Lepisosteus oculatus: one gene and its partners. The protein of the gene in region 1 binds, or shares a complex with, the protein of each later gene. Links are inferred from orthologs where the notes say so. Each region holds a gene or a part of one and is shown in the gene's direction. Other genes may lie near its edges.

Region 1 (7,116 bases):
TATGTGAAACATACACACCCCTTACTTATGACAAAATGATTTGCTCTTTAATGGCCTCTGTTTTACTATGATGTGCTTTTTCTATAAAAAAATACAGAGCCTTGCAAAAATATTCACTTTCTTCCAGTGATGTCCCATTTTGTTAATTACAAATGGTGAATATGCAATGCTTACAGGGCTCCCTGATCCTTCTGAGATTCAATCCCGTCATTCATGGGAGCTGAAAACGTACAGCGCCACTCCCTAGACAGCAGATTATTCCTCAAAAAACAGAAAGAGTTATACACTTAGCTTTCAGAGGGGGTTGAAATCACTTCTGTAACTGGTCAGTGCATGGGCCCTGTGACAAAAACACATTTTTCAACTGAAACTGGTGGCGCACTGGGTAGCATTGTTGCCTCGCAGCGCTGGCTGGGTTCAATTCTGGACCTGGGGTGCTATAAGAAAGGAGTCTGCATGCTCTCCCTGTGCTTCTTTAGTGTGCTCCAGTTTTCTCCCACAGCTCAAAGGCATACTGGTAGTTTAATTGGCCTCTGTAAAACAACTGGCCCTAGTGTGAGTCTGTGTCTCAGACTGTGCGTGGGCCTGTCCTGGACTGGAATCCTGTGAAGGGTGTACCGTGCCTTGTGCCCTTGGCTCCCCTACAACCCTGAATTGGATGATGTGGTTAGAAGATGGACGGCTGTTTTTAATCAAAACCTAAATGCTCAAACTGTTCAAACCTTTGCAAGGCACTGTACGTTCATATCAGTCAATTATTTCCTGTTTAACACAATAACTTTAAAACATACAACTATTTTATGGTGTGGGCAAATAGACAGAGACCTGAAATAAGGATCTGAGAATCACGATGACTTGAGAAAATGGAGTTGAGCCATTGTTTCCATTCGTCAGTGTCCCTTGGGGAGAGTTATACCATCCACCTTTGTGTGCTGTCTAACACTTTACCCTGGCAACCAGAGGGAGGGTGATTTTGGAATCAGTATGTTTCCTGCCGCGGTGGGATGAAATTCTCTGTGCTCCTAGCCAGCAACAAAGCAAATGAGGAGTCTCACTGCAGGAATACTTACTTAATCGACCAGCCAGCAGCTCAACCACCTGTCACAAGACCCAAATTTAGCAGTGTGGGCATGCATAGCTATCAGTAGACGGTGCAGTTTTATCACGTTCTAGTTATCAGGAAGATAATGTTGTATGATCTTCAGGAGAATCAAATCTCATATGTGCATTTGTGGAAAAAAAAAGATTTGGAGAAAGAAGCTGGATCCTTAAGTCTATGAGACGGAGTGGTGTTCCAAGCTGGTTAACTTTTTTATGTTCTGGTGTATACTTCAGTAGTGGTGGAATAAAAGATGAGATGCCTGCCACCACTGTACATTAGAGTTTCTTCCAATTTCACACTGTGGCGTCATACATTTCCCCTTGGTTGGCTTCATATATCTAAGATCTCCTCATCTTTGTTATTGAAAAATTGTGATTGAGAAACAAAGTTGTCTTTTCATTTGGATTTTAAAAAACAAAAACAACCTAATTGTGTACCAAAACCCCTCAATTCAATTTCACTCCTGTCTCAACTTTGAGGAGAAACAAGATCTGCATCATAAATTAACATTCGCACAGAAAATAAAAAACGTAAGAGATGTAGAAATGAAAGACATTTTTCCATTTCAATTAAACCTCGTAAGCCACTCATCGCTGATAAATCGATCTTTCAGTACTATACCGTGTTTGCTATAGTACAAATATCAATTAAAATAACTTATAGCAAAAGTATTACAGTTTATTAAGTTAACTCAAAAGACAGACAAGTGTGAATTTGTGATTATGTCATGTTATTTGTTGATTCTGTGAACATCCCTTCCCCTGCAGTGCAGAACAATGTACAGCTCAGAGACCAGTGTTCAGTCTATGTCTGTCTGGAGCTGAGGAGTCAGATGTCTCCAAGACACTGTCAAGCATTCTCAGCACATAGAATAGACAGCTGCTCTCTTCCCTGTGAGTGTGAAGACAAATAAAGGAGAGAGCGCTGAAAAAAATTATAAATATGAAATAATTCTCTGCTGACAGAAATGTCCAAAGTGCTGTACAAAGACAAGATCATATATTAATCATTAAAAATCAATTAAATGAAGATACATTTCAATACCCAGCACTTCTAGTTCTAGAAATTAAATAAAACTTTCTTCAGCACGCAGTAGAATTGAACCTCCACACACAGCTTGGAGTCAGGAGTCTGACATTGTTAATTAATCCCTGCCTTACTTAAGGAACAGGAGGCACAAGTCATTACGTGTTACCCAGGGGTGACTGTCTTAACAGACCGTATGATCTGCCATGGAAATTGTGCACAATGCTGAACAAGGGATCAATGTAGATTAGTCTGTAAAACATTACTGAAACTGTTTACTTAATAACAACTAAATGTTTGTCAGTAAATGCTACAATTTAATGATGAAGTTAATAAATGTGTCTAAAAATATACAGACAGCTGTCATGTAGTACTTATGTCTACATATTCAAAGATCTAAAAAAAATCTATTCTTTTAAGGTGGTATCTTTCCTGTTAATTGTTTTCCAATTTCCTTGTTATGATTATTCCCCCCAAATTCTCTTTTCTATTTATAATCTTGTTTTTCCCCTTAACTAAAATACAAAAAACATGTCTGAAAATCTCTGGAGCTGTGAAGTGGAAGCACTGCATTGCACAACGTTTTAAAAACCCATGAAGCACTTTTCAGTAAAGTACATTACAGCATTATGGTCACCTTTTGAAAACAGAAAACATTATTGTATGCATAGACATGTCATAAAAAAAATGTATTAATCTTTCCCACCTACCAAGCACAAGTCTAAAATAATTAAACTGTCACATTTTTACATTTTGATTTTTTTTTACTTTAAAACACTATGTAAATATCATACACCATTCTAAAACATTTCAATTATATTATGATTTTATCAGAGAGCACTAAACGATGTTGCAGTTTATTTCTTTATTTGAGTAAATTAAATAATAATACTGTATATGTACTGTATATAAGGGTTGCCTAGTGGAAATGTTCCTGCGATAAACATTGGTGCTGTACCTTGAGCTTGTGCGTTACCCCGTTTGCTCCAGTCTTTCCAGCTGTGCGAATGGAAACTTCCATTGCTCTGCAGGGGACTGGCGTTCCCCTCCAGAAGGCGAGGAAGTCTTTCCTGGTTGTTTAATGTCGCGGAAAAAAGCTTTATCTCTGGCCACTAATGAGCCGTTGTGGAAATAACCTACGGAAAATAGAATGTAGAATTTGATCAAAGCTTATTTCTAGTTTCTCTTTGGCCATGGGTTTAATGAAATATTTTAAAAGTATTATGCATTTTATTGTTTTTATGATCATTAAAAAAGTTATGAAATCTTTGTGTTGTTGGACCATAAATTTGCATTTGTAAAGCAAAAAGTAATGCTACAACAAAACAAAAACTTTTTAGAATGTGAAATAATCTGACTTTAGGATATTTAGCTAAATAAATATATTTATAAATATATTTAGTTTTTTATGTAATTTATTTCTACTACTTTATATATGCGTAGTAAAGTTATTAGTAACCGTTTAAACGCTATGTCGATGTGAATGCAGTATGTCACATTTTAATATTTTTTTTTACTTCAAAACACTACACTTTATATATCATAAACCATTTTAAAACATTTCAGTTGTATTATGATTTTATTAGAGTGCACTAAACGATGTTACAGTGGTACACGCTCTGAGGGTTCGAGACAAGCCAGCTTTCAGAAGGCAAATCTAAAAAATGAAGCACAGGCATGTTAGCACAATTAACATATCTTTCAAGTTCATAAATATATAAAGTATTACATTTTCATGTATTCTTACTTGACAGTAAAAATAAACTGGATAATGTAAACATGTCTAACTAAATTATAATTTAAAATAATATGTATTTCATTCTATAGTTATGTGATAACTACCCTACTTCAATTTTTTTTTAATAATGGGAGCAGGCTGAACTAAAGGTTAGAAACCACAACTTTCGGTTTGTATGACAGTGCGTCGGTGTTGTAGCCAATCACTAACTGGTTCCGGGTTACCAAGGGTCAAGCGTTACCATGGATACAGTAAATAAACAAGACAGAAGAAGTACCAGTAAGGTATGTTTGGAGGGATATCTAAATAATGTAATTTGTGTCAGGGTGCATAGAACAAGTTTCCTTCTTATTTGTGTTATGGGTATTGCAAACATGTTTTTGCAATATGTTTTTTCCATTGTAAAATGTCATATTTACATACTTAGGAGACATTTCATCTCGTGTAAACCGACACCATCGAATTATATTATAGACACAATGTTAAGGGGCTGTGTTTTAGACACTATAGTGTGCTAAGTTTTGTGCTCTTCCTGAGGGTCACTGGGAAAATACAAAAATAACAATAATAATGTAGAATTGCTGAAAGTTATGGAGAAATAGGATAAAGGCATGGAGGAATAGTTTTGCCCCAGTGTTCTTATAATGTATAATTTAAGGTGTTTATCTATAGTGGATTTGGATTTTGGATTATTAGTCTGACATATAATTGTTTCTAATGCAGTCAATAAAAAACAGAATAAAAACACCACTTAAAGATGGGACAGAATGTTGCCTTTTTGACTACTCAAGACTGTTTGTTTAGGTGATCAATAAGATTCAACTGTGTCATCATCAACTCAACTTGCTGGTCTGCCATTCTACTCCATTGTTAATTCAGCCTGCTGTTTTCATCTTTTGAAGATGGCAGCTGAAGGGAGCTTTTAACAACATAAACAACACTATTGTCTTGAAGGGCATAAACTGTGTTGATCCTCATAGATATTTCAAATGGAGAGTGAAAACGTAATTAACGCAGGTTTGCAATTAACATGAGGCTGTCCTTTTCCTACAGGGATTTGATTTATGCTTAAAATCAATCAAACAGTATAGTGGAATTGATCAGTTAGGATCCTTCAGGATTTACTTAGAAAAATGTTCTTGGTACTTTACTTAGCTTTTAGCCAGTAAGCCTGTAAAGAGTTGTTTTTATGCTGTTTGGAGTTTTGATGCAGAGATGGTATTATGGAAAAATGAGTGTATCGCTTTCGTTTGTCTCCTCTTTCTTTTCAGAAGACAGGATTGTAAACATCTAGGGCATACAGGAAGATGCCGGATATCATGGACATCCAAAGCAAGGCAGCAGCCAGTCCTGGCACAAAGCCACGCATTTATCCGCCAGTGGCCAAACTCAATCCTGTTGCTGACCCACGGAAAATGAGAAGGATCATTGCGGAGGACCCAGAATGGTCTCTAGCTGTAGTTCCCCTTCTTAAAAACCTGTGCCTACAACATATCGTTAAAAACTTCCATAGTAGGTTCTTTTTGCCTTTATCACATTTTTATGATGATATTGTAGAGCATGTATGTGAGTGTGGCTTTCAAGTGAAAGCATGTGAAGCCAAGAGCCTTCTGGAATTAACATATCAGGTTTTTTAAAGTCTTATTAAACAATGGCAATATTCAGACTTCAGAAACAGTTTTTTAAGAATATATTTAGAGACTGGAAATCCAAAGAAAAAGGATGGAAAAAGGAAAAAGGTTTTAGATTTTGAAGTAGTTCAGGTGAGTAGCTGCGTCAGCATGCGTAGGCTGCAAAGGAACAAGTAATAGGTTTATTCCATGTGGAAGAAGGCTTGGACACCTGAAGAAGGCTCCACGGCCGAAATGTTGTGTTTTCTTTCTTCTTTTTCTCAGCATGGAATAAACCTATTACTTGTTCCTTTAGATTTTAAATGCATGCTTTACATGTGTTAACACATGTGTTAACCACTTGTTTGTTAACAGCAAAATCAAAGTGCAAAGACGTGTTAGAATGTGGAGTCTTCGGGGCACATTGTATTCTAGAGCTACAGTATGATAAAGTCCTGACTAGCTTTACTCCTGTTTTCTAAACAAATCTTGTATTCCCCAGATGACTTCTGGTCTGATTCTCATTTTACTCCCTAATTGAGAAGGATAAATTCAAATTACATGTCATTGCTTTTATAGATTGTATGACTAAAACAGAAAGAAAAAAATAGAAGCACTTAATCTAAATTTAACCAGTTGTAAAATGTTAAAGCTCTCAAAAACCTTTAATGATCAATTACTACCAAAATGTATAGGTGTGGCAGTAATGAGTTTTTAAATATGTCAGAAACCATTCACTTTTAGTTTTGAACACCAAAATAAAATTTCGTACATCTTTTTTCTGCATGATTTAACATGATAAAATATACATTGAGAATGAAGATCATGATGTGTTTGTGCCCCCAGTGAATCATACCATTTCATAAGACCTTTTAGCAGGTTTCTGTATGTCACAATTCATGACACATAATATTGAACTGGTGAGCCCCAAAGTAATTTCATTTCAGTTAGAACTTGACGCCATTTCTTCAATCAAGATTAAGTGTAAAGTCTGTTCTGCTCTGAAGCATGCTCTTGAGTGAGGCTTAATGAAAGTCAGTGATGAAACTGTCTGATTAACCACAGAAAAGACATTTTAAATACAAGACACAGTGCGTGTTAGGAATACTAAAATTTATTAAGTTCCAGTATGAAAACCCTGTAGTGCTCTTGATCCAACACTGACACTGTGGGGATACAAATTACCTCCATTCTCTCATGGACACTTGTTATTTATTTGAAGGAGTAGTTTCTATTATGTATATTTCCTTTAAAGTACTGTGAAGCAATACTATGACTACATCGTTACCTTCCCAGCTGCAAAAAATCAACTCTTAAATCACACAAAACACATTAAATTGAATATTAAGGAAATAAAACAACATATTACATTAAACAGAGTATATTTTTTCAGAATTTAACATATTGGTCTATAGGCAAATACCTCAGACATTCCAGAGATCTGCCCTTTCTTTATCTCTTTAAAATAAATCTGTATTAATGGATGGTATTTGTTTAAGGATGGAACTTTGTATTTCATTACTGTTTGTAATTAATTAAACAATATATAGAATTAATAACTATTAGTATAAGAAATATCTGAATTTTATTTTTTAATTACTATCAATGTATGAATGTATTCAATGCTAATTTATTTTGTA
Region 2 (7,247 bases), on another chromosome or scaffold:
GAGCGATGAAGGAGGCTGACCAGTTTATAAGTGACCACAGCTTTGGAAGGAGGGATGAAGAGGGTGTCGTTCACCCTCCCTCCAGTAGCTCACCCAGTGGTAGTAATGATGAAGAGGCGAGAGACAGACGCGAGGAAGAGCAGAGCAAAGGCTGGACACTCACCACTCTGATCCTGTGCCCAATGGCCTTGGCGGGCAGGTTGCTGCTGAACTTGGCGCGGATCATGCCGCTGTTCCCGTGAGCGCGCATCACCTTGCCCCAGATCACGCGCGTCTTGCTGGGCTTGCCGCCAGGAGTCACTGTGTTCCTTGAGACAGAGGGAGAGCGAGAGAGGCCTCAGTCAAACAGCAATTATTCAGGCAGCTCCAAAACTGCAGATATCTTCTAACACGGAATGAAAACGAGCACAGACATAATCGAGCAAACGTGACCCCCGCAAACACAAAACTAAATAAACAGCAACTCTTTAATTTGAATGAGCGACGGAGGGTGTATGATGGGATCTGAAGACAGAGACAGGAAAGAGAGAAGAGCTGTGAGGGACAGCAAGAAGGCTAATGTCAATCTTGATAAAAATGGCATCTGTTTCTAAGCAAAGGATAATCTGATAAGGGAACAAAAGCCAACCCACCACTAAATGCGGCCACACATCCCCTAACTAACGGCCTTTGACAGAAATGATTTTATTCTTTATTTGAAAGCTGCTCTTCCTTCAGTGCTGCCTGTAATACAGTCATATTCAAAACATCACAATTCTGTATGACACAGGGCTATAAACAAGAACAAGAACCATATTTTAAGCACAAGAGGAAAAACGCAGTTTGCAAGGGAAACTGCCCTGACACACAAACACATTCAATGAAAAATTTAGTATTGGCCCTGTCTATGAAACAATGGTAAGTACCTCATTAAATGTTAAGTGCATAATTATACATCCCTTATATGTCAAGAACACCTATTCTTTTAATATTTAATACGTTTTTTGGAATAACAAGTGGCAGGCGAAATGATGAAGTGCCTGCAGGTACAGAGACAAGACAGTTCTACATGCAGATGTGTATTACCGAGCTGCTAGCAGTGTGCCACATGTGTAAATAAGTTTAACCTTCTCCAATTATTAAACACATCATACAGATAAAAAAAAAATCTTAACACTGTTCCAGCTGTGCCTTGTTTGAACCATGCCAGCTCAATCCTCCTGAAACAGACACCAGACACAAAATCTGTGTTTGCTGCTGCACTTAGAGGGCCAGCAGAACTTGGCAGCACATCCACTTCAAGTCCAGCAGCAAAAGAACAAATATGGACAATGCCATAAAACTATACAGCACAGCAGCACCATAAATGTGCTCGGTTTTTCAGAACAGATCTCTAAACAAAGAAGCACGTTTCCTGTTACCAAATCCCTAAACCTTACCGTCCACTAACTGGATTCAATAACTGAAACTGGAAATCTGCCTGCTTAAAGAAAATGAGATAGAGCACTAAAGCAGCTGGGCGAGGTCTTCTATATACAACATATATACACACATGAGGACTTCCCACTACCCACTAGTAAATGTGGACCCAGGTTGGGGAACCGGCTTAAGAGAACTTGTCAGCTTCTCTCTGCAACACTTAAGTGGCATACCAAGAAGAACCTTCACAGGCACACCCAGTTTAACACTGGTGCGCCGGCAGCATTGGACTCACTTCTTGGCCTTGTAGACGTAGGCGCAGCGCTTGCCCAGGTAGAACTCGGTCTCCTCGCGCGTGTACACACCCTCGATCTTCAGCAGCGCCGTGTGCTCGCGCTGGTTCCGGAGGCCTCGCTTGTACCCTGTGAAGATCGCCTTGCACCACAGTCTGGGGGGGAAAGAGACCAAGAGCCCTTGTCAGAAGACAATCACAGCCCCAACAAGAGACTGTCCACCCTGCAGCACGATCCACACTCTTCATTGCCCCTTGCAGACACTGCAAATGTTTGTAATTTTATTAGATAGGATCACGGTTTTGATACAAACTAGGTATCTTAAGTGAAGAGCCAACTGGCAGAGATCATTACTGACTGCATGTAAAAAAGACAGCACTCTGATCCATGTCAGGTTTTTAACTGAAGGCTCCTATACAAGTGGGAAAGCGATGCTTATCGCACAGCACTGCTGAAGGATAAGCAATCTAGGAACTGAAGACTGAACCTGAAATCACTGCACTGCATTGCAGTGGCCAAGCTCGGGACACCAGAATCACTTACCGAAGGAGTAATTAGCAGCCAAAGGCTCCCACTTGGATATTAAACTTCACATCTACTTTCTTCAAATACTTGAATCTGTACTGCACTTTTCATCCTAATTTGCATATAGCAGGGGATCTATTTCATCCATCAACTGAGAGACAGCTGCAACTTTCTGCAACCCCACCTCACTGTAGATCAGGTGGAGAAGTGAGAAGAGCATATGGAAGTTAAAAATCACTGAAATGCATCACACCGGGTAATACAGGCAATCACTCAATTCAGAACTGAGCTCTGCTTGTGTGTAAAATAGCCTGCTGTTTTAAAGGGTATATCCTGTGGAATAAAGCACATTGGAGAAGTGTTAGTTTAAACCAGAGATAACCCACCAGTTTGCCACAGCACAGTACCGATCAAACACAAACCCTTCTGCTTCCAAAAAGAACAGATTCTGTTCCTGTTACACTCCCACTGCAGGAAGGTCGATTTTTAAAATTTATTATTCAGCAATGCTCACCAATACAAAGGCAGCTCCAAGAATACCTGATTAGTGAGAAACAAAGGACTCACCTTCCTGGCATTGTGAAGCTTGAGTATTCAGTCACAGCCAAGCCTGGAGATGGACAGGGAGCACATAATCAGCACACAATAAAATCATGTTAGTCTAAAACACAAGGAGCTATACACAGATGACCACTTCTAGGTACGAAAGTTACTTTGGGGGAAAAAAACAACACAACCCAGCTAAGAGAGATGGACCACGGCTGAGGATTTTAGCTCTACATCACGGTAACGCACACTGTATCAATAGTGACAGCTCCTGTGGGAAATAGCAAAGGACATCCGTTTTCTTTGAACACGTACACATTTGCACGAGGAACTACTATCTACACGAAACACATGTAATTCATTTTAAAAGACACTATTGCTGAAGGTTCATGGTCCGGGCAACACTGTGCACTTTCACGATTCTACCTATCTGAGCTGTGAGGGACATGTAACTGCTGGGAAAAACTGCAACAAGTTCAGCCACGATATTACATTAAAAGGGCCTGACCGCCACAGTTCCGGTTAGACACAATCGGAAGCAAATAAGGTGTCGGACTCGGCAGTCGAGAAACGAGAATTCATACATACACCCAAAACGGCAGCAACCGGGGACGTATATGATTTCGGGGTACAAACACCGTGTATATGACTACACACTGCATAATAGCTCCCACCATTAACACTCACTGACCATACAGCAAAACTTCAGTCAGTAAGGCAGAAATGAATAAAACCATCATTTTATAAGAAAGATAAATGGTTTCCAATTTTAAAAATCACACCAGGGTTTTGACAGTTACAGGGCTCGGAGACATTCTTGTATTTTTAAATGGGAATCTAATGAATAAAATTGAGTTTGAACGGCCGAGGCTCAGCTCCTGCGAAGCCGGGGCATTTTACATTTCACCCGAGGGATTCCAAGCTAAATCCACTGAGTATCTCGGCCATCTTCAGCTCAAAGGCTACAGCACTGGTAAAACAAGCCGTATAAGACTCACGGCTGTTTAAGATAAGTAATATTATAGTTACTATACTTTTAAAAACTATTTAAAAACCGGTTGATTCTAAACGCTGTTTATCTCTCTCACCTGTACTGATATCCAAGATGGAGGAAAAAGGGGGGTCCTTAGGGCATGCTGGGAAATCAACACCATCGTCGCACGAGTCGTGACTGAAACAGCGCCTGACTAGAAATGTGCTTTTAAAAGAAGTACACTAGTTTCTTAAAAACATTTTTTAGTTTTAAAAAATCTCAGAAAATATTTAAGTTCCATATGTCCAAAACTAATCATTCGCTTTGCGTTTACAATTTGTTGTAACAGGCAATTTTATAGACTAGCCTTTTTACTTCGCTTACTTGCATTTGTTCCTCAGAAACTAAATAAAGTTTCTTGTCCACTAAAATAAACTAAACATTAAGCTTCAAGTATATACTTCAATATATATATTGTATTTACTAATTTAACATGAACAAAAAAAAGTACATGCAACTGTTAAGCTTGCTCACCACGGTTGTGCGGTTGCCATGGTGATCGGTGTCAACATCGAGCAATTTTCACGAGTTGGAAAAGTAACCTGACTGAAACGGTGGTTAATCTTTGCGACAGTATTATTATTTTGTCTTTGAAGTTTTAGGAAAGTTATTGATCAGCAGTTACAGACATCTATTTTAACATATTGGATCGATTCATTTCATTTTTCTTGCAGCAGAATTTTGATTTTGAGATTGGTAGAAATTGGTAACCTATTTGAAAGTGTTAAAAGACTATTTGAAGTCGCTAATGGGGAATGGGAAGTATCTATTGGACCTGCAATGCTTACTGACCTTTCCAGCGTGCACACTGTTAATATTAAAACTTTGATTAGATTCCGGTTTTTAGTGCCGAGTGGGCTTTAGAAGGGACGCCCTGAGACAAACTGTACTGTCAGTTACATTGATATTGACTTTGTCAGTCACACCGACTATACAGTATTAACGTACAATATCATTCAATCTGAGTTTACAGTATCTGCGTAAGTGACATTATTGAAGCAACCTGCATAATTGTACAATCTGCACACAGATCATTTGTACTAAGTTCTCATTTGCATTTGCAGTGCACACGATGTCTCTCCAGTCGTATGTGGAGCAAATCCGGCTGTGCACGGTTCTAGAAGACGGCGCAGATCAACTGGCCGTGCTGGGTCACATCATGCCTGCCACGTACGAGGGGCGGCCTGACGCTGACTCGGTACTCTCTCACCCACAAGTTTGTATCTGTCTCAATGTGTCATGTCTGTCAATGTGTCTCTCGATGTGTTTTCCTTTCTGACATGTTGTCTTCGTGTACTAATATATGTCTCAGAACCCGTAACACTGTCCGTTGTGTGAGTCTCTCAGATTATGCTGGGTCAGGTGTCTCAGTTTCTCTCTCTAGCTGTATGTTGTTCACGTCTGTGGCGAAGAAGACATGCTATTCTAAATTCTAGTTTATACTTATACCAGCCATAGCTAAATAAATACAATTATATTTTATTCAGGAAATCCCCAGAGGGGAAGATTTTAAAAGGCCTTGTTGAATTTTGCAGTGGACGTGAAGGGTTTAGGAGTGTTTTATGCCCCTTTATGCAAACTGAAAGTTCAGTTTTTGAATAAAAGTTGAGAATCAGTCATTTTCAATATAGACATATTTAGATCTATCTGAATTTGGAGGGCAGCCAGGGTTGAGGACAGGAGGTGCAGGTCAAGAGGTGTGTGGGACAGAGGGAATCATGGGTTGAAATGATGGAGGAGGAGGAAGTGGATGCTACATTGTCTACAGACCAGAGTGAGACCCGTCTTTTCATGGTTTAATCTGTCAGATTATGTGTGTGTGTTCAAGTGTCTTTGTGTCTAGGTGTCTCAGTGTGTTTGTCTATCGGATTGTGTCTGCTCACTTTGGGCAGGTGTTGCAGCAGCAGGGGCAGAGATGTATTTCACGGAGATGATGTAATTGCAGTTGCAGGAGAGGGCAAAGCTGGCACAGGTCACGGGGGCGCTGCAGAGGACCCAGGTGGAGCTGAGCCGCATGCTTGAGCACAACCCCCTGACCCCCGAGCACCTGGTCAAGGTGCAAAGAGACAGGTCAGTTTTGCAGTGAATGGGCTCTCTCTCTCTCCTGCTGTCTTACTATCTCTCTACTTCCTCTCAATTTCTGGCTCTCTAGCTCTGCAAAAATCTTGCATGCGTTACGGAATTGCATATAACCTAAGTCCACTGACCTACTCCTCTGTGGAGCATTCCTATAGGTCAAAAGTCTGAAAGATACAAATAAAAAATACATATGATACAATGTTGAAATGGCAATTTATTTTTGACCCTTCCCAATCTGTTACTGACAGTTGTTGATCAATGTGGCACACACCATTTGATATGCTCTCTATCCCATCTAGATGTGCTGTTTGCAAGCTCTCTAGTGCCTTACAGGAGCATTGGCACTGATTGAACGAACATTATGACTCTCATTGATGGTGCTGTAGGGTCTCCTGCTCGGCCAGCTCAAACCACCGAATGCTACTGGCATCTAGCATGCTGGGAATCCAGGCATCGAAGAAGATCATGATCCTAGCCCGAATTGTATTGGATACACGACTTAATCTATGATTCAGAATGGTGTTTTTACAATTAAACCACCTGTGAGATGAAATTAAAGTTAAATTTAAACATTGGACAATCAAATCTCTTTGCTTCTCTTTCCCTTTTCTTTCCTTACTCTAATTGTCTGTCCTTCTCCATCTCACTCCTCTCTCTGCCTTTTGCTCTGTGTCCCTCTTTCTCCTCTCTCTGTCTTTCTGTTCCTGTCTCAGGCAGTTTGCAGCACAGGTGATCTCCGACGTCCTGGCTGAGCTGCAGGAAAAGGGCACATTCCAGAGCTTGCTTTTGGCTGTCCAAGCGGAAAAAGAGAGGAAGGCACACCTCCACGACATCATAGTCAGGTCAGCCTCTCAGTTCTAGTCTTCAGAAAGTTTTGGTCTCAGTACCAGGCAAAGTGGACATCGGACATTGGCAATGACTTTGTGTGGGCGTGTCTGCATGCGCTTTTTGGCAGGGAAGAGGAGGGGAGACGCAGAACCAGAGCTCTGCAGAGACAGCTTTTGGATATCCGCAAAGAGAAAGAGCTTGAGCTGCAGGTATAAAAACACATTCCAATGAGTGACACACACTATTGCAGTATAATAACTCAAACATGCCCTTGCAAGGATGTACCATATTATAGTGTAATAACATGGGCATGCCATCATTACATACAGTAATAGCTATGCTTTATAACTTATCTGCTCTGTGTCTGACATGTCTCTCTCTCCTCACCCCTCACCCCCAGAAGCGGGAGGAGATGATCGCCCACATGAAGGACCAGCTGCAGGAGATGAAGGCCAAAACTGGGCTGGAGGGGAAGTATGTGAAGAGCAGCGCGGAGCTGCAGGTGTACCAGGGCCAGAAGCTCAATGGACACGCTGAGCAGCAAC
Region 3 (7,775 bases), on another chromosome or scaffold:
GGCTCCAGCTCCCGCGGTTAAGGAGTGGATGGAAGTACGAGTCTCACCCCAGAGCAGAATCAGAAGATGACACACACACTGAGCACACTAAAATGCTCTTTGACTGGATATGTTTTAGACTGCACATCAACAATCCAAATTACTGAGATGAACACAGCAAAGCAAAGGACAGTCTGGTGAATGGTGAGCTCACTTGAACGTGGCAGTGTGTAGCTCTGTGTATCTGAGCTCACTTGAACGTGGCAGTGTGTAGCTCTGTGTATCTGAGCTCACTTGAACGTGGCAGTGTGTAGCTCTGTGTATCTGAGCTCACTTGAACATGGCAGTGTGTAGCTCTGTGTATCTGAGCTCACTTGAACGTGGCAGTGTGTAGCTCTGTGTATCTGAGCTCACTTGAACGTGGCAGTGTGTAGCTCTGTGTATCTGAGCTCACTTGAACGTGGCAGTGTGTTGCTCTGTGTATCTGAGCTCACTTGAACGTGGCAGTGTGTAGCTCTGTGTATCTGAGCTCACTTGAACGTGGCAGTGTGTAGCTCTGTGTATCTGAGCTCACTTGAACGTGGCAGTGTGTAGCTCTGTGTATCTGAGCTCACTTGAACGTGGCAGTGTGTAGCTCTGTGTATCTGAGCTCACTTGAACGTGGCAGTGTGTAGCTCTGTGTATCTGAGCTCACTTGAACGTGGCAGTGTGTAGCTCTGTGTATCTGAGCTCACTTGAACGTGGCAGTGTGTAGCTCTGTGTATCTGAGCTCACTTGAACGTGGCAGTGTGTAGCTCTGTGTATCTGAGCTCACTTGAACGTGGCAGTGTGTAGCTCTGTGTATCTGAGCTCACTTGAACGTGGCAGTGTGTAGCTCTGTGTATCTGAGCTCACTTGAACGTGGCAGTGTGTAGCTCTGTGTATCTGAGCTCACTTGAACGTGGCAGTGTGTTGCTCTGTGTATCCCACTTTACAAGAAACCAGAGCCACATTGGGCACATGATGTCACCCTGTTCGAGGGTGAAATCCTGTCCACGTCAATATGCATCCTTATAAAATAAATATACACATCATAAATATTGTCCAAACTACAAAAAGTGATCACATTTGTCCATTTAAAAAACAGCACAAGTGAACTAATACCATTTTTCTGTGCCAGGATCGTGACTCCAGTGGAAGGCCGTGGGGGGACTATAATCTGAAAGTTTACTAATGCAGCTGAAGTTCATGGACGCTTCAGTCACTCGGGAACCACTTCTGTCCAAAGTGACTTTACTGTAGCAGATGCCAAAAGTTGCAAGAACAACAGCTGCAGCAAAGTCAGTAAGAACATTGCAAAGCATAAAGCTGAAGATGGTTTAGTGATTTGCTCAGGGTAACACACAGTGATTTAGAAGTACATCCCAAAAATAACCCACTTTTCTTAACCACACCTTTTCCTAGAACACCTTGACTTTTTAATGAGCTGCAAGTAAAATATTCTTCTGTAAATTAGCACACTGACTGGTGGCTAGATTAGCAGTGACTTCTCTTTTGTAGACAAATGGCTTTTGTTAGCCTTCATCTGCAGTGACAATGTTCCATTAGCATTCTAGGGTGAATCAGCGTGAAAAACACTATCTGGCGCATGACACTGACCAACGTCAAGCAGCAAGCGGGACACCTGTGAGTCTTGCACAAAAAGCGTGGATGAAGACATCCAGCTTAAGCATCTTTCACATCTTGGGGCAGATCCATCTGTTCTGCTTTTAAATGTCAATTAAAATGTTTATACAGCCAAATACAGCCGACACTGTTGACCAATTTCACCACTGGTTAAACATGAAATGAGATTTTTGAATAGGAGACTTATTCTGCATATATTTTCTACAAACATGTTGTGCTAGTCGAAAATGCTTCTGTGCTTTAATCCAAGTGTAACCCATTCTAGTGAAATACTCTGAATTGTGCCTGGTAGATTCTGTGCTTTTCCTTTCTCTCTCCTGAAAGAGGTTAAACAGTAAACACAATTAAAAAAAAAACAAAGTCATTCTTCCTGGGTTGTATCCTGCTATGCAGATGATGGAGGTCTAGAGTCTCTCCAGATGCGTGATTAGCACAGACAGCAGCTGGCTTGCTAGCTATAGCTCTGGCGCCCTCTGTGGAGCAGTCTAGGGGTTCGCGCTGCTTTTTGGCTTTTCCAAACTGCCACACAAGAGCCAAGCAGACATCCTGACGATCTGCCCAGGACATCCTCCACTCCTGTGCTGCTGGAATGCGAGACGTCTGTGGTCGCTAATCACGCCTCGCTTTAAACCTCTTCCTCTTCCTAAACCTTGGGTGTTGCAACAGCACCGCGCTCCACCCACCCAATGGTCAACTGAAGCACACAGCCATTTGCAAACACATGCAAAAAAACATGTTGCATTTCACCAAATTCTCACTGGATGTTTTTGCTGCTGCTGCGATTCCTTGCATGGTCATCTGCTGAGGATTTCAATTTCAAGACCTCATCCGATCTCTAATTCATCAAGTTCCTCCACTAGTAATGGACTAGAAACCACATCCTTAAACATCTGCATTGGCTCAAGATTTCTTTTCACAACCAGTTTCAGTTGCATTTGCTGGAAATTAAAACAAGGTTTGGCTTCATCTTTTCCTTGTGTGTGGGTAGTGTTTAGGCCTCTGTTTCAATGAACTGCTTGCTATGGATACAGGGTTTGTGACCAGTCCCAGGAGGAGTGCATCTTGGTGGAAGCAGAACTTCTTACATGCACTGTATCACATTCCAGATCTTCGGAAATATCTCCCAAATTACATCCAAATCAGCATCATGAACAAGAGGCGCAGTTACTGGTCACTAAGTTGTTTTAACTCATTTAGATGAGACACAGATACTTGGTATGAAAAAGCCTTGTTTTCTTTCTCAATTCCTTTATTTCCATGTAGAAAATGAAATGGTGACATAAGAGCCTAGAACTTGTCCCATTGGCACAGCTCCTGATGCCTTCATCAGTTGAGATACAACAAATTTAGGAATATTAGAGAACAGACACAATCCAATTATAAAAAGGTCATCAGCCCCAGACTCGCATCTGGGCATCCCTGCAAGGTGCCAACAAATCCGTTTCAACGCTAAAGCACAGCGAAACGCACTGTTTTAACATCTAAAGGCTGTAAACTGCTGTGAAGTATAAATCGCTCTTAGAGGACCCAAAGCTTCACCGTTCTATCAATGAAACTTGTGTTGCTTTAGTGTCAGAATTTGTAAAAAGCTTTCAGAACTCCTCAGGGACGGGCATTAGAAAGCGGTATATAGTGAGAGATTAAATTGGAAGTTTTAAAAGCATTTGATTAAGGACTTAAAGCAAAGAGAGGAATAAAAGTTAAAGCATTAAAAAGACCAATGGGTACAAAGATCACTTTATGACAAAGCTCGGGGGGAAAGCCATTATGTGAAGGCCTTGAAATCTTCCAAACCCACCCTTTAATGATGGACAGAATGTACCTCGTTACAGTGGGTGTAGACTGTGAAACGAATTCAATTATAATCCGTTTTAAGTGAAACACGACAGGCAGCTATGGGACACAACAGACCTTTAGCTCTGGGCGTGCACTATCATTTCGTGCTAGGTCCTGTCTTTGCAAATTGAACGGTGAACACGAAATTTCCACACCGGGACTCGGTCCAAGAGCACCATCACTCACCCAACAGGAGGGAAGCAAAACTTACTTTCGCTCGTCACCTCCGCGTTGTCTGGCTCCTCGCCGCCCAGCAGTCCGCAGTTGGCTTCGTCCCAGGTCAGGATGAGCGGTACGTCGTCATCTGCGTTGCTGGCCATCCTCCGAAAAGGCCTGTCCGGGGCAGGGCGACCCTCGCTCGCTGTCTGTCCCACAATCAAGCCACCCTACCAAGTGGGTTTCTCGTTTGGCTTATCCAAAACTTCTCCAGCTCCTTTTGCATAATCAATGCCAATCGTCTCGGAGTGGTAAACTGCAACGCAAAACCAAGAGCCAGCAGTTCACCTGCTACATCCACCAAACTGAAGAGACTGAAGAGTCTAGCTTCAGTTTGTTGACAGGTTTAGTTTTAAAAACCCAGTGCGTTTTATTGTGCCAACGCCGCTACAGGACACTAAAATAAAAGCAAATATCGGATCGTATTTCAAGCGCTATAAATCTCTTTTTACTAAAAGAAATCTAGTCCAGATTGTATTTCATGTACCGACCATCGGAGTCATCAATGTTTCTAACGTGTACATGCATTTAAACGACTTAACATGATTCAGATAAAAATTCAGTAACAAAACTATCCGATTTTGTGACGTTATAGCGCTAAACAGAGCTCCTCCGACAGCTTCTTTAGGTTTAATTTCTTGAGTTAAGATATCAGAGAGAAAAACGGTCTCAACTTCTGTCTGTTGTTGATAATAACAACACGACGATTTATTCTGAACTAGTGAAGAGCTGTCATGTTTTGAGTTAAGCTAGCTTCCACTAACCCCAACGTGCATATCTTCCAAAACGGAAAAAAATAAAAGCAGGCTTTTAGGTAACCTTCGCGGAACCAAAAAAACATACCAATCCTTTAAAAAACATCGCGCAAAAACATTCTTGTTACATTTTGTAACCAGACCCTGCACAGCATTAAAGAGCCTGAAGACAACCAGCGCACAGGCCCGCCTCTGCTGCGATGCTATTGGCTGGTGTCTGTTCTCTGAGTCCGGTTCTGCCCTGTGAGTGGAGAACCAACCTGTCAATCAGAAGCGCCTCGACTCGTACGTGGGGATGAGAAAATGGCACGTGACGCGCACATCTCTGACTCGTTTTTTTTACAATTGTCTTTACGTCGCGTATAAGAAAATAAGGTCTTTAGCTCTCAGTTAAGCCGTTCTGGAAGTCACATGCATTAAGCATAGCTTGCGTCTAAAGTTTAAATGCCGAAGCAACGTCGTCTGGTATAATTCATTATAAAGCAGTTAGAAATGTATATAAAAACTGCGCTTTAACACTAGGGTCAATGTTTTTTTTGGAAAGGCCGTGAGAAACTAAAACCATTCAAACTACATTCCCAATAACGTACAGGGATTGCTTCCGGTCACGATGCTGCAGTTCAAGCGCTGATTGGCTGTCAAAGCGCCGCCTGCATTGCGGTTTCCTAGCAACGCAGATAAACTGCAAGCAGAAACAAGTTCCCATTGAGGTAGGTGAGATATAGCACCAGTCTATTTTTTAATTATGCATACATTTATTAAGAAACATGTGTTTGTGTTATGTGTTTGGTCCGTTATTCGTAGCTGTATTCTATGTTGCACTGGACTTTTTAAAATAAAACTTCATGGTCTAAAAAAGGAAAATAATATATTACAGTTCATTGTGTTGATTGTGTATTTAGCTATTAACAGTAAAACTGCAAAGTTAATTAGAGGCGTCAGTGTAATATTATTAAAAATCATGTAATCTCCTAAACACGTTTTCTCTGCTGAACTGTAAATAACTTTCAGTTAAGTTCTCAGGAAGTTCTCAGGAAGAAAAACGTGAAGAAAAACTGCTCCTCCTGATTCCTTCACGTGTCGTTCTGTCTCCAGGTGACCCCAGGACCTTGTGCTGTAGCTGAGCGGTGTCTGCTGAGGAGCAGAGGAGCCTGGAGACCGACGGCTCATGGCCATGGAAGTGGCTGTGCTGCCGGTGGGGGGTGGCTGCCGACAGGCCGCCAGTCCCAGCCCTCAGCCCCGCGCGAGCGGCGCCAGGGAGTCTCTCAAGATCCTGGACCCGGCCCGCAAGAAGCTGAGCTCCCTGGAGACGCAGCGGGTCGCGGGCGTTCTGGACGAGTGCATCGCGAAGGTGGAGCTGGTGGCCCTGCTGCCCACGGTCCTGTCCGGCCTGGAGCGGCTGTCGGTGGGGCTGGGGGCCGAACTCGCGGGGGCCCTGCGGGAGCACGAGCGGCTGGGGCAGATGCTGGCCGCCCTGCGGGAGAGGAGCCAGCGTCAGGGGCTGGGGGGCGAGAACGAAGACCCCCGGCTCCCGGGCCTGGAGCAGGCTCTCCGCAGCTCCCTCCGCAGCGTCCTGAGGCACCTGCGGGCACACCCCAGTGCCACCCACAATCTGAGAGGGCAGGCGGGCGCGGGCGGGGGGGCTCCGGGACTGGCGTGGGGTTTGGCATGGGGGCTGACGGAGCTGCGCAGCCTGCTCTTTGAGAAGCTCCTGACCGGCCCCGCGGAGGAGCGAGAGAGGAGCCGGTACATCCAGGAGGTGTCTCTCCGGCACCAGAACAACGTGGGGCTCATCTCCACCCTTGAGAGGGAGGTGGCTGCGGCCGCCCGGGACAGGGATGCTGAGGTAGGCAAGGGGCCCGTTATGCGTTAGGAGATTGACAGTCCAGGTGCTGTCCCTACGTCCTTTTAAGAGCATAACCAGAATGCAGGGCTGCATTGACTTATTTCAAGTCCAAAGTGTTCCTCATGGCGGTGTTAACTCCCATGGAGTTGGAAAGACAGAAATGATGTGCCGTGATGGCAGCCTCTGTATCTAGCCTGCACACATATATTGTACATATGTTCATATATACAGTGTTCTGTCCAGACACTCAGTGTGCATAAGTGTTCATAGATAGATAGATACTTTATTGATACTTTATTCATACCGCCAACCCAAGCCTGGAAGGGCTGGTATTTTCAGTTTCCTGTGGTCAGTGTGGTGTGGAAATTCTGTGCTGTGTTTGTTATGGTGCTGTGAAGATTTCCCCAGAGAACGTTTCCAGTCGCGACACCAGCCACCCTGTCTCCTTGCTTAGATTTCCAAGAAGAATGAGGTCATCCGCAAGCTGAAGGGCTCCCTCCACCAGATGGAGAAGATCTCGGAGGACTTCCTGAAGCGAACCCGGCAGGAAGCGGACAAGCAGACGCAGTCCGACCACAAGGCCTCGGAGAGCCGCTGCGGGCGCATGCAGCAGGAGATGGGGCAGCTGCGCGGGCGGCTCTGCGGCCTGATAGCCGAGAACCGCGAGAGCGAGCTGGCGCTGAGGAAGGTGCGTTTCTTTTCAGTTCCAGGGACCTGAGCCCATCCTCCAGTTTGAACCGAATTACAGTACTAATACAAAAATAATCTCAATTGCCTGCGGCTTCATTTCATGCCAGATTTCAGTCAGTATATTTAGTTATTTTGTTATTTCTGCTTAGAATGTTTGCCAAGTAGAGATTTTTTGAGGCTTGGAAGATCTTTTGAGAGCAACACGGTGGTGCAGTAGCAGCGAAGGAGCCCTGGGTTCAATCCTGGCCCGGCTGTGCTGTCTGCCTGTGTGCTCTCTTCATGTTTGCATAGGTTTCCTCTTGAAACAGATGTCCTTTTAATCACAATACCATTATGGTTGTATATGAGCAAATGTTATTCTTTCCTCAGATGGAGGGTCTGTAGTGGTGGCCATAATGCTAAACAGTGAATGTTGCATTTTCAGAAAAAATAGTTCTATGATGTAAAGTTTTAGAAACTGGTGCCCTGCAACTATTTCATTTTCTCAAGTATAACCTGCTTCTCTACAGAGGAAGTACAAAGTGGAGACAGAGATTGAGAACTGGATCCAGAAATATGATGTGGACATGGGTGAAAAGCAGGTAGAGAAAAGTTTTTTCCCTTCATCCATAGTCATGCACATGATTATGGCGAGAACTGCTCATTCCCAGATATCAATAGAATAGAAAATATATCTGAATTAGAATTCAGTCACTCACACAAATATCTCACACAAACTCCCAGCCCCGAGCCACACAGCAGCCTTCCGAACAAGGGTGAATTATTCTAGAATAAGGCTGGCTTTCTGT
Region 4 (7,062 bases), on another chromosome or scaffold:
AGCAGAAATCTCAATCATTTCCAGTACCTTTGGAATATATTCCTATAGGGAAAATCCAAATGTAACTGTCAGGTAGAATATACATTAAGACAAAAAGCGATAGACAATACAACCCATTCATATCTAATGCACAGCTTGTATAAACATGAAATCAGGTGAAATTACAAAGGTTCAAGCACTTCTGTAGCAGTGTATTAGAATTTTCTAATACTTGATCATTGAAAGATTTCATTTAAGCTCTATGAAATAGATGACTATCATTAATTTATCCACTATGACTTACAGCATCAATAAGACTTCAGAAATAAAATAATAATGATAATGAAATAAAATCTTTATAAAGAAAAGACAGAAAAGCTGAAAGATGGAATAGTGAGGCGCTCAGACTAGATTAGACTCCCTGAGCAGCGGCAGCTTTGTGAATCATAGTAGACGTACCTTCAGTTGTTCCTGGTTTTTGGCATTCATGCTCAAGTTGTTCAGAGCATTTAAGGCCTGGACTCGGATGCCAAACACAGGATCTGACAAGAGGTTTCCTATGATTTTAAGGCCGCCCGTTTCACGAATAAAGTCCTGCAGTCGGAAAAAACATACAATCTTTATCCATTCTCCAGGATGACTACTTCACCACAAAAGCACTTCTGACAACCATTACTGTATATAAGATGAACGAGAACAAAGATTCTCCTCTGAATACATGAAACCGCAACATTTTTCCTTAAAAAAACTCTTGGTAGTGCTGATTGCTGAAGAATGTTCCCTGTGAAATCGTCTGCCTTCTTCCTTGTGGATTAAGACTAGGAGAAAGAGTTCAGCATGAGCATGAAACCAGACATTCATTGGACCTGGAAGACACTCAATGTTTTGCACTTGCGATATTCAACTCCCTTATTTATTCCACTGCTGTGCTTTTTTTAAACCACACACTATCTACCCGAGAGGTGTCTATTCCTGGTCCCGGAGGGTGGGTGTGTCTGCAGGTTTCCTAGGTCTCTTCAAAGCAGCGGCACCCGAAAGGTGAGAAGCTGTGAAAGTTGTCCAGTTAGGTCAGCAACCAGCTGGTTCAGCTCAATAAGAGCCGAGCTGGAATGTAAACCTGCAAACACAAAGGTCCAGCAGGATCTAGACTGGACAGCCCAGATCTGCTCTGTATACGATATGCACTTATTTGTATTGTGCTGTTTTGTGACGTTAAAAGACTTCTCCTTCTGGAGCTGCATTGTAATTACCACACTGCTAAGTACCAGCAGTTTACCTTTCCTGCAGGCACTATATTTCTGACAATATATTGTAAGTTTGTGATTAAATATATAATCTACAGGTATGTGTTATTAAGCAGCTATAGTGTTTAGCAATTTAGTGTCTTGGGTGGATAAGTCTCTGGGCTCTTAACAGGTGGATTGTGTCCCTACTGCAGATGCTGGTGTTGTACCTTAAGGGAAGCACTTTATCCCAGTTGCTTCAGTTCTCCCAGCTGTATGAATGGGGACCAGTACTGTGGGGCGGGAATCCCTGTAATGGACTGGTGACCTGTCCAGGAGAGTCACATGCTCTCTTGTCCACTTAACACCATGGAAACCAGGATAAGCAGACCCAGTGACCCAGTGTTGCTGGGCTATGGAAATTATCTGCCTTTATAGTGAGTTAATTGTAAGATGCCCTTGAGCATAAAATACAAATGATCCCTGATCCTCTGGCCTCAGGAATCACTCAGTATTCCGGAGGCCTATAGCCTGAATTAATTTACGTGTGGTACCTGGTTCACAGAGAAGGCTGCACTGTTGCCCAGAGTGACAAGTATTTGCATTCTTTCAGATGTGTCAGGATTACTCTGCAGCAGGGAAAGAAGCATCTCTAGATGCTGTGGGTCCAGCTTTCCAGGAGTTTTTGAGAGTATTTCACCTGCAAATTAAAAGCACAGGTAAAACAGCAAGTTAGAAATGCGCTTTAAATTCTTGGGAAATATTTGGCAGATCTAAATACCTCTATTAATGCCAGGGAGGATAAAAAGACCATCACCGCACTGGAGTTTCATCCTTTACAAACTTTACAGTAATCAAGAGTCAGAAGTCCAAATATTTAATTTTAGATCCAGTGGTCTGTTCATGCACATTTATTCAAAAGAAAGTAAAGTGTGTGGAGTATCCAGCACCTAGTACTGGCTATACACAAGAGCTTAAGGAACTTCAAAATTAACAGGTGAATAGAATACATCTGTTTTTTTTTGAGAGGATATGGTTGTTTTTTTAAAATATTTTTGTGATTTCCACTAAGGACAGACATCCTTATGATCTGCTCTTGATGTAGCTTTCTCATTTACACTACACTTTCTACACTACCAAAAACTTGTATTATCATTATTGTATTGTATCTACAAGTAGTTTAAGTAAAGAAACAGCCGGTCAGAAGGTTTTAATTCTGAACATGTGCACTTATGCTATTTGTTTTTCTGGTTTTTCCATTTTCTATATATTAAACCGCATCTTTGTACTGTTGAGAAACTGCACATGATTCAGAATCACATACAGTGTGTGGTCACATTGTTAGGTACATCTACCCAATAGCACGTTGGTCTTCCATCTCCCCTTAAACTGCCCGGACTTGTTGGGGCTTGGACTCAACAAGGTGCAAAAAGTGCTGCACAGGGATACAGGCCCATGTCGACTCCAAATGTGTCACATAGTTGTTGCAACTGCAAATTAGCTGGTGATGGATCTCTACTTCGGATAACTCTGTCCATTATCCCACAGGTGCTTGACTGGACTGAAATCTAGTGACTTAGGAGGCATTACATTAAACTGAATTCCCGTGTTCAGTGTCACTTAAGTCTTTTGTCTTGCCCACTCTCCCTCTGAATCGCACACACGCGACCCGGAGATACTGTACCTGACTACGTGCTTTAAATAGCATCGTCTGCACGATGATGTCTCTGATTAAGCCCTCAAGTACATGGGAAGGGATATGTACAGTACCTAATAAACTGGCCGCTCAGCGTATGTCACTACGAACTTTGCACAATGTGAGAGCATCACTTCAAGCTCAGCATTAATCACTCTGACTGTACCACTAAGTCGGTAATACTACATTCATTATTTCAGTGCGGTTCCAGTATAAACATGCTCACACTTCGGTATGTAATATATTCAATAATTCACATAACCACGTGAGCTGCCCAGAGAATTGTCCTGTTTCATCTGTAAAATGGTGTCAGCAACAATCTTTAGCGCCAGAGAGTTTATTTTACTTTGTGATCCATTTGAGGAAATAACAACAACAGGACACGAAAGAGTACAGAGCAGGTGCACGTAGACTTGTTTAGTAAGAGACAGACTTACGCGATGAACCATCGCCTGTACGAACATCTCTCCCACGAATCGAAGAAAACTCGAACACTTTTTCCAGCAAACTCCCAGGCAAAACCGCTTTCGTGGATTCATCTTTTCCTGAGCAATGTTCATTTACAACATCGATATTTCGGGATTGATTAGCTCGATTCCTACTTGCAGTCACTAGTTTGTAAATCCCGTAAGTGGCTCCAGCCCCGGCCAGTAACCCCAGCAACACCTTCATTTTACACGGGCTGGGAGCCACACTGGCACCGTCAGCCATCGTGGACTCGAGATCTGACTCATAAGAGCACAAAGTTGATCAAATACTTATTTATATGGTAAGCTTCAGCAAAACAAACAATTTCCGAACAGCATGTTGACAGTTCAGTTGCGACATGACTCTAATCAAACAGAAGGGTGAACGAACGTTTTCACGGGGTTTTTCTAACTGAATCTCTCGGATTCTGAATTGTTCATCTTGAAATACTGTATGAAGTGGATTATTCAAATTGGTATTTTTAGAGCCTAGTAATCGACTATGTCGTAAATATAATAATTAAAACGAAAGAGTATCAATATACTGTATGGTAATTCCACGTGCATTAACTGAAGCTCATAAGCAGCGTGTTAAAGGCTCCCATCAAGGAGTTCCAGACACGGGGATTATTTTCGTTTGGCCAGCGGCGTGGCCAGAGCCAATTTAGTTACTTAGTGACTGTAAACAGACTTGAGTTTTCAAGAGGGAGTTTAGAAAATACGAAAAACTTGTAGTATCGTACGTTTTGAAAGAGAGAAATGGATAATTTGCAACAAGCAGATCCGGTCTTGAGAAAATACATCATGCAACACTCACTTCCTGAGATCTATAAAGTAGGGTTGACGTTTCTGTGTTTTCCAGTATAGACTTTTATTACAATTATTTTACTGAATAACACGCTGTACTGACATCCATAAGGGGTACCTTCCATGGTCTTTAGCTTTGCAAAACGTAATGGAATTTACTTATCATTAAGCTTTCAGCGTTCGAGAGACAACACTTGTATAATATAATACATTAAACATGTTTAATATATAATTATATAGAATGTATTTAAAAAGTTAAATTAATCTGGTGTGCATCACAAAATTGTAATTTCTTATTACTAGCTTCATGGCAACAATTGGATATATCTACCTACTCCAGTACTTTTCTGGAATTCCTGTTCCCTTGATCTAATTAATACACCAGTGAAGTGCGAACAAGGATCCACTGCCGAGAGTATCCAAGAATAAAGTCAATATGTATAGACAGTTACATCTCCACTAAGGCAGAGAACACACCAGGCACTCTTTACTGCACAGGTTTCACTTATTCTGGCTTTATCATAGTACATAAAATACTGGCGTGGAAAATTGCAAAGTACTGTAGTCTGGCAAACACGAAAGGTGTGGCATTCAATTGCATATATGTAATCGGTAATGACATTTCACCAGGCATGATGAATTGCTTCCATTTTAACGTGATAAACTGTATATTTTCTATATTTGTATATTGCATTGTTAAGCGCCTTGGGGAAACCTTGTTGTGAAAGGCGCTATATAAAAGTTAACTGAATTGAATAGAATATATATTTGACGATTTTTAGGTGTGAATCAAGCGAAAAGGGTAGAAACACTACTCTGATTTGTAACCTGTATTAGGTTTATGTATTGCTTTGTCCTAAGGTGCGTTTTCTCTAAATTTTCATGATAATGGAAGTGATATATATATATATTTTTTATCGACAGGCGTTGTTATCCGGGTTATGTGTTGTGTGCCCTGCAAACCCGTTACAGTTCTTGGAAGAGAAAATCAAAGAGTTTCAGGAAAATGGGAACTGGTAGGTAAATTTGGAATAGATGGGACATTTTATTCAATGGAATGGTTTAGGACAAATCTGGAAGAATCCTTACAGAGTGGCATACTGTACTGTACATGTGAGCGCCGTTACCCCATCAGGCCGATGTATGCGCAGTGAAAGCCCTGCCTGTTTGTGACGGGGATCAATACCAGTTCCAAGTGGACATTTCTTGGGAGTTTTGATTAAACCAAAGAACGCACAACTGACGTCTAATTAAGCTCTGAGAGTTTTGTTGATCCCATTAACTATAGGTAAGGTCAAAAAAGGTTTTACCTGTGTCCATGTCATCAAATAATTAGTTAAATAAAGTGTTTAAGAGTAGAGATGGTAAAATATCCTCAATGGCTGTATTTGAACAATCCCTGAGATTAGAAGATAAACTGCGTATAAAGAAGGTTATAGAAATTCCACTAGAGGGCACCGTTCTCACCTTAATTGTTAAAGCAGCATCTGTAGCGTTAGACGTGCCCTTAAGATTATTGTAAAACAGCCTATAGGACATATAAACACTTTACACATATCACGTAGTGAAAGAACGTTAGAAACGAGATGATTTTCCTCCGGCCCTGTTATAATTTCGCCATGCAGTCTATTCACCATACCCAGTATAATTTTACCATACACCACAATGCAGTGTTGCATAATATTTCAGCTGTGTGTCTAAAGATTCCTTATAGCTTTGCTCAGTCTATAAAGGGAGCAAACACATGTACTGTTCTCTTTTAGAGGCATGAGAGTATGCTTCATCAGCGACAGGTTTACAATATATAATAACTTTATTTACAGTAAGATAAATTAAATCTGCATTTTGAAATAAATTGACTGTAGTATTCTGAAATAACAAATACTGATGTCTATATTTAGTCTTTGTGTGGAACCTTCTAGGACTGGCAAGACTCCCAAAAATATTTGAATTACACTGTCAAAGGTGCCCAGGAAATAAAATATTGTTTTTGGTCTCTTGTTCAACATGCTGGCTTTCATCAACCGGCTCTTCAAAATGGGTTCTGTGGTCAGTCCTTTTTTATTTCTAAAGTTTAATCTTTGTTAATGGGTTCCATCTCAGGTCACATTATTGATATAAGACTGTAACATAAATTCCCACTGTGAACAGGACATACACTGCTATGAAACACTGAGTTGCTCCCTGAAAGATCATTCTACAGTGGTGGGGGACTGTTTCACAAAGTGAGATTACTTGGTTTAATTTGGTGAATTTAGTAAACCTTTTAACAAAAGTCTGGATTTTTAGTTTCATGAAACAAGACTGAATTGTATCTGGTTAAGTAACTATAGCAACATATCCTCTACTCTTAACCGGCTCCAGGGCAGGTTAATTCAAATATAGTGACAGTATGTCATGTAATAAGTAAAGTGGTGTATGCATTTGTTTGCATTTCTTGACAATATAAACCATCAAACGGGGGTTTCTTGAAATACAGATCTAGTATATACAGTATCTGGTAATATTCTTTTTTATGTATAATAAAAAAGGTGTTCTGGACTGCAAAGTCATCCTCATTAAAGCCCCCATATAGTCAAATGAGGCTCTTTTTAAAAGAGAATCTATTCACAGCATCAACTTACAGATAATAAAATTGTAGTGTGAAAATATGAACATTGATCACTCAAAAGCCAAAACTATAAAAACTTTATATCACTTTATAACTTTATAACTTTATATCAAAAGATGTTTTAAACATGTCTGCCTACAATGGGTGTTACGTACTGTAGACTTTCCATCATGTAAGTTTCCACCATCACATTGTTTCCTATGTTATCAAATGATCTGTGATGCATAGTGTTGCATCAGCAACATTTACATGACTCTGTCCAGGGGTTTCTCCAGGCAG

What was found. The genes of interacting proteins can lie anywhere in the genome.
Region 2: tcte1 (region 1) and iqcg share a complex: the UniProt entries of both Homo sapiens proteins name them as parts of the nexin-dynein regulatory complex. The link is inferred for Lepisosteus oculatus from reciprocal best matches to the Homo sapiens genes DRC5 and DRC9.
Region 3: tcte1 (region 1) and iqcd share a complex: the UniProt entries of both Homo sapiens proteins name them as parts of the nexin-dynein regulatory complex. The link is inferred for Lepisosteus oculatus from reciprocal best matches to the Homo sapiens genes DRC5 and DRC10.
Region 4: tcte1 (region 1) and fbxl13 share a complex: the UniProt entries of both Homo sapiens proteins name them as parts of the nexin-dynein regulatory complex. The link is inferred for Lepisosteus oculatus from reciprocal best matches to the Homo sapiens genes DRC5 and FBXL13.

The regions. Positions count from the first base shown.
Region 1 is NC_090697.1:43,242,679-43,249,794, forward strand, and holds the start of tcte1 (dynein regulatory complex subunit 5), read left to right. Parts: upstream 1-4,103; 5' UTR 4,104-4,150; intron 4,151-5,137; 5' UTR 5,138-5,173; coding exon 5,174-5,378; intron 5,379-7,116. UniProt on the Homo sapiens protein: Component of the nexin-dynein regulatory complex (N-DRC) a key regulator of ciliary/flagellar motility which maintains the alignment and integrity of the distal axoneme and regulates microtubule sliding in motile axonemes.
Region 2 is NC_090708.1:16,857,218-16,864,464, forward strand, and holds the start of iqcg (dynein regulatory complex protein 9), read left to right. Parts: upstream 1-4,241; 5' UTR 4,242-4,269; coding exon of another isoform or gene 4,270-4,289; 5' UTR 4,290-4,349; intron 4,350-4,382; exon of another isoform or gene 4,383-4,775; intron 4,776-4,859; 5' UTR 4,860-4,867; coding exon 4,868-5,011; intron 5,012-5,740; coding exon 5,741-5,865; intron 5,866-6,587; coding exon 6,588-6,716; intron 6,717-6,829; coding exon 6,830-6,911; intron 6,912-7,102; coding exon 7,103-7,247. Other genes in the region: rpl35a (large ribosomal subunit protein eL33), read right to left, coding at 164-308, 1,694-1,846, 2,784-2,826, 3,851-3,960, 4,270-4,289. UniProt on the Homo sapiens protein: Component of the nexin-dynein regulatory complex (N-DRC), a key regulator of ciliary/flagellar motility which maintains the alignment and integrity of the distal axoneme and regulates microtubule sliding in motile axonemes.
Region 3 is NC_090717.1:14,355,464-14,363,238, forward strand, and holds the start of iqcd (dynein regulatory complex protein 10), read left to right. Parts: upstream 1-4,769; 5' UTR 4,770-5,161; intron 5,162-5,546; 5' UTR 5,547-5,619; coding exon 5,620-6,297; intron 6,298-6,751; coding exon 6,752-6,985; intron 6,986-7,496; coding exon 7,497-7,568; intron 7,569-7,775. Other genes in the region: tpcn1 (two pore channel protein 1), read right to left, coding at 3,692-3,800. UniProt on the Homo sapiens protein: Component of the nexin-dynein regulatory complex (N-DRC), a key regulator of ciliary/flagellar motility which maintains the alignment and integrity of the distal axoneme and regulates microtubule sliding in motile axonemes.
Region 4 is NC_090702.1:33,829,033-33,836,094, forward strand, and holds the start of fbxl13 (F-box and leucine-rich repeat protein 13), read left to right. Parts: upstream 1-4,056; 5' UTR 4,057-4,124; coding exon 4,125-4,199; intron 4,200-5,096; coding exon 5,097-5,188; intron 5,189-7,062. Other genes in the region: armc10 (armadillo repeat-containing protein 10), read right to left, coding at 1-42, 439-573, 1,757-1,902, 3,336-3,609. UniProt on the Homo sapiens protein: Substrate-recognition component of the SCF (SKP1-CUL1-F-box protein)-type E3 ubiquitin ligase complex.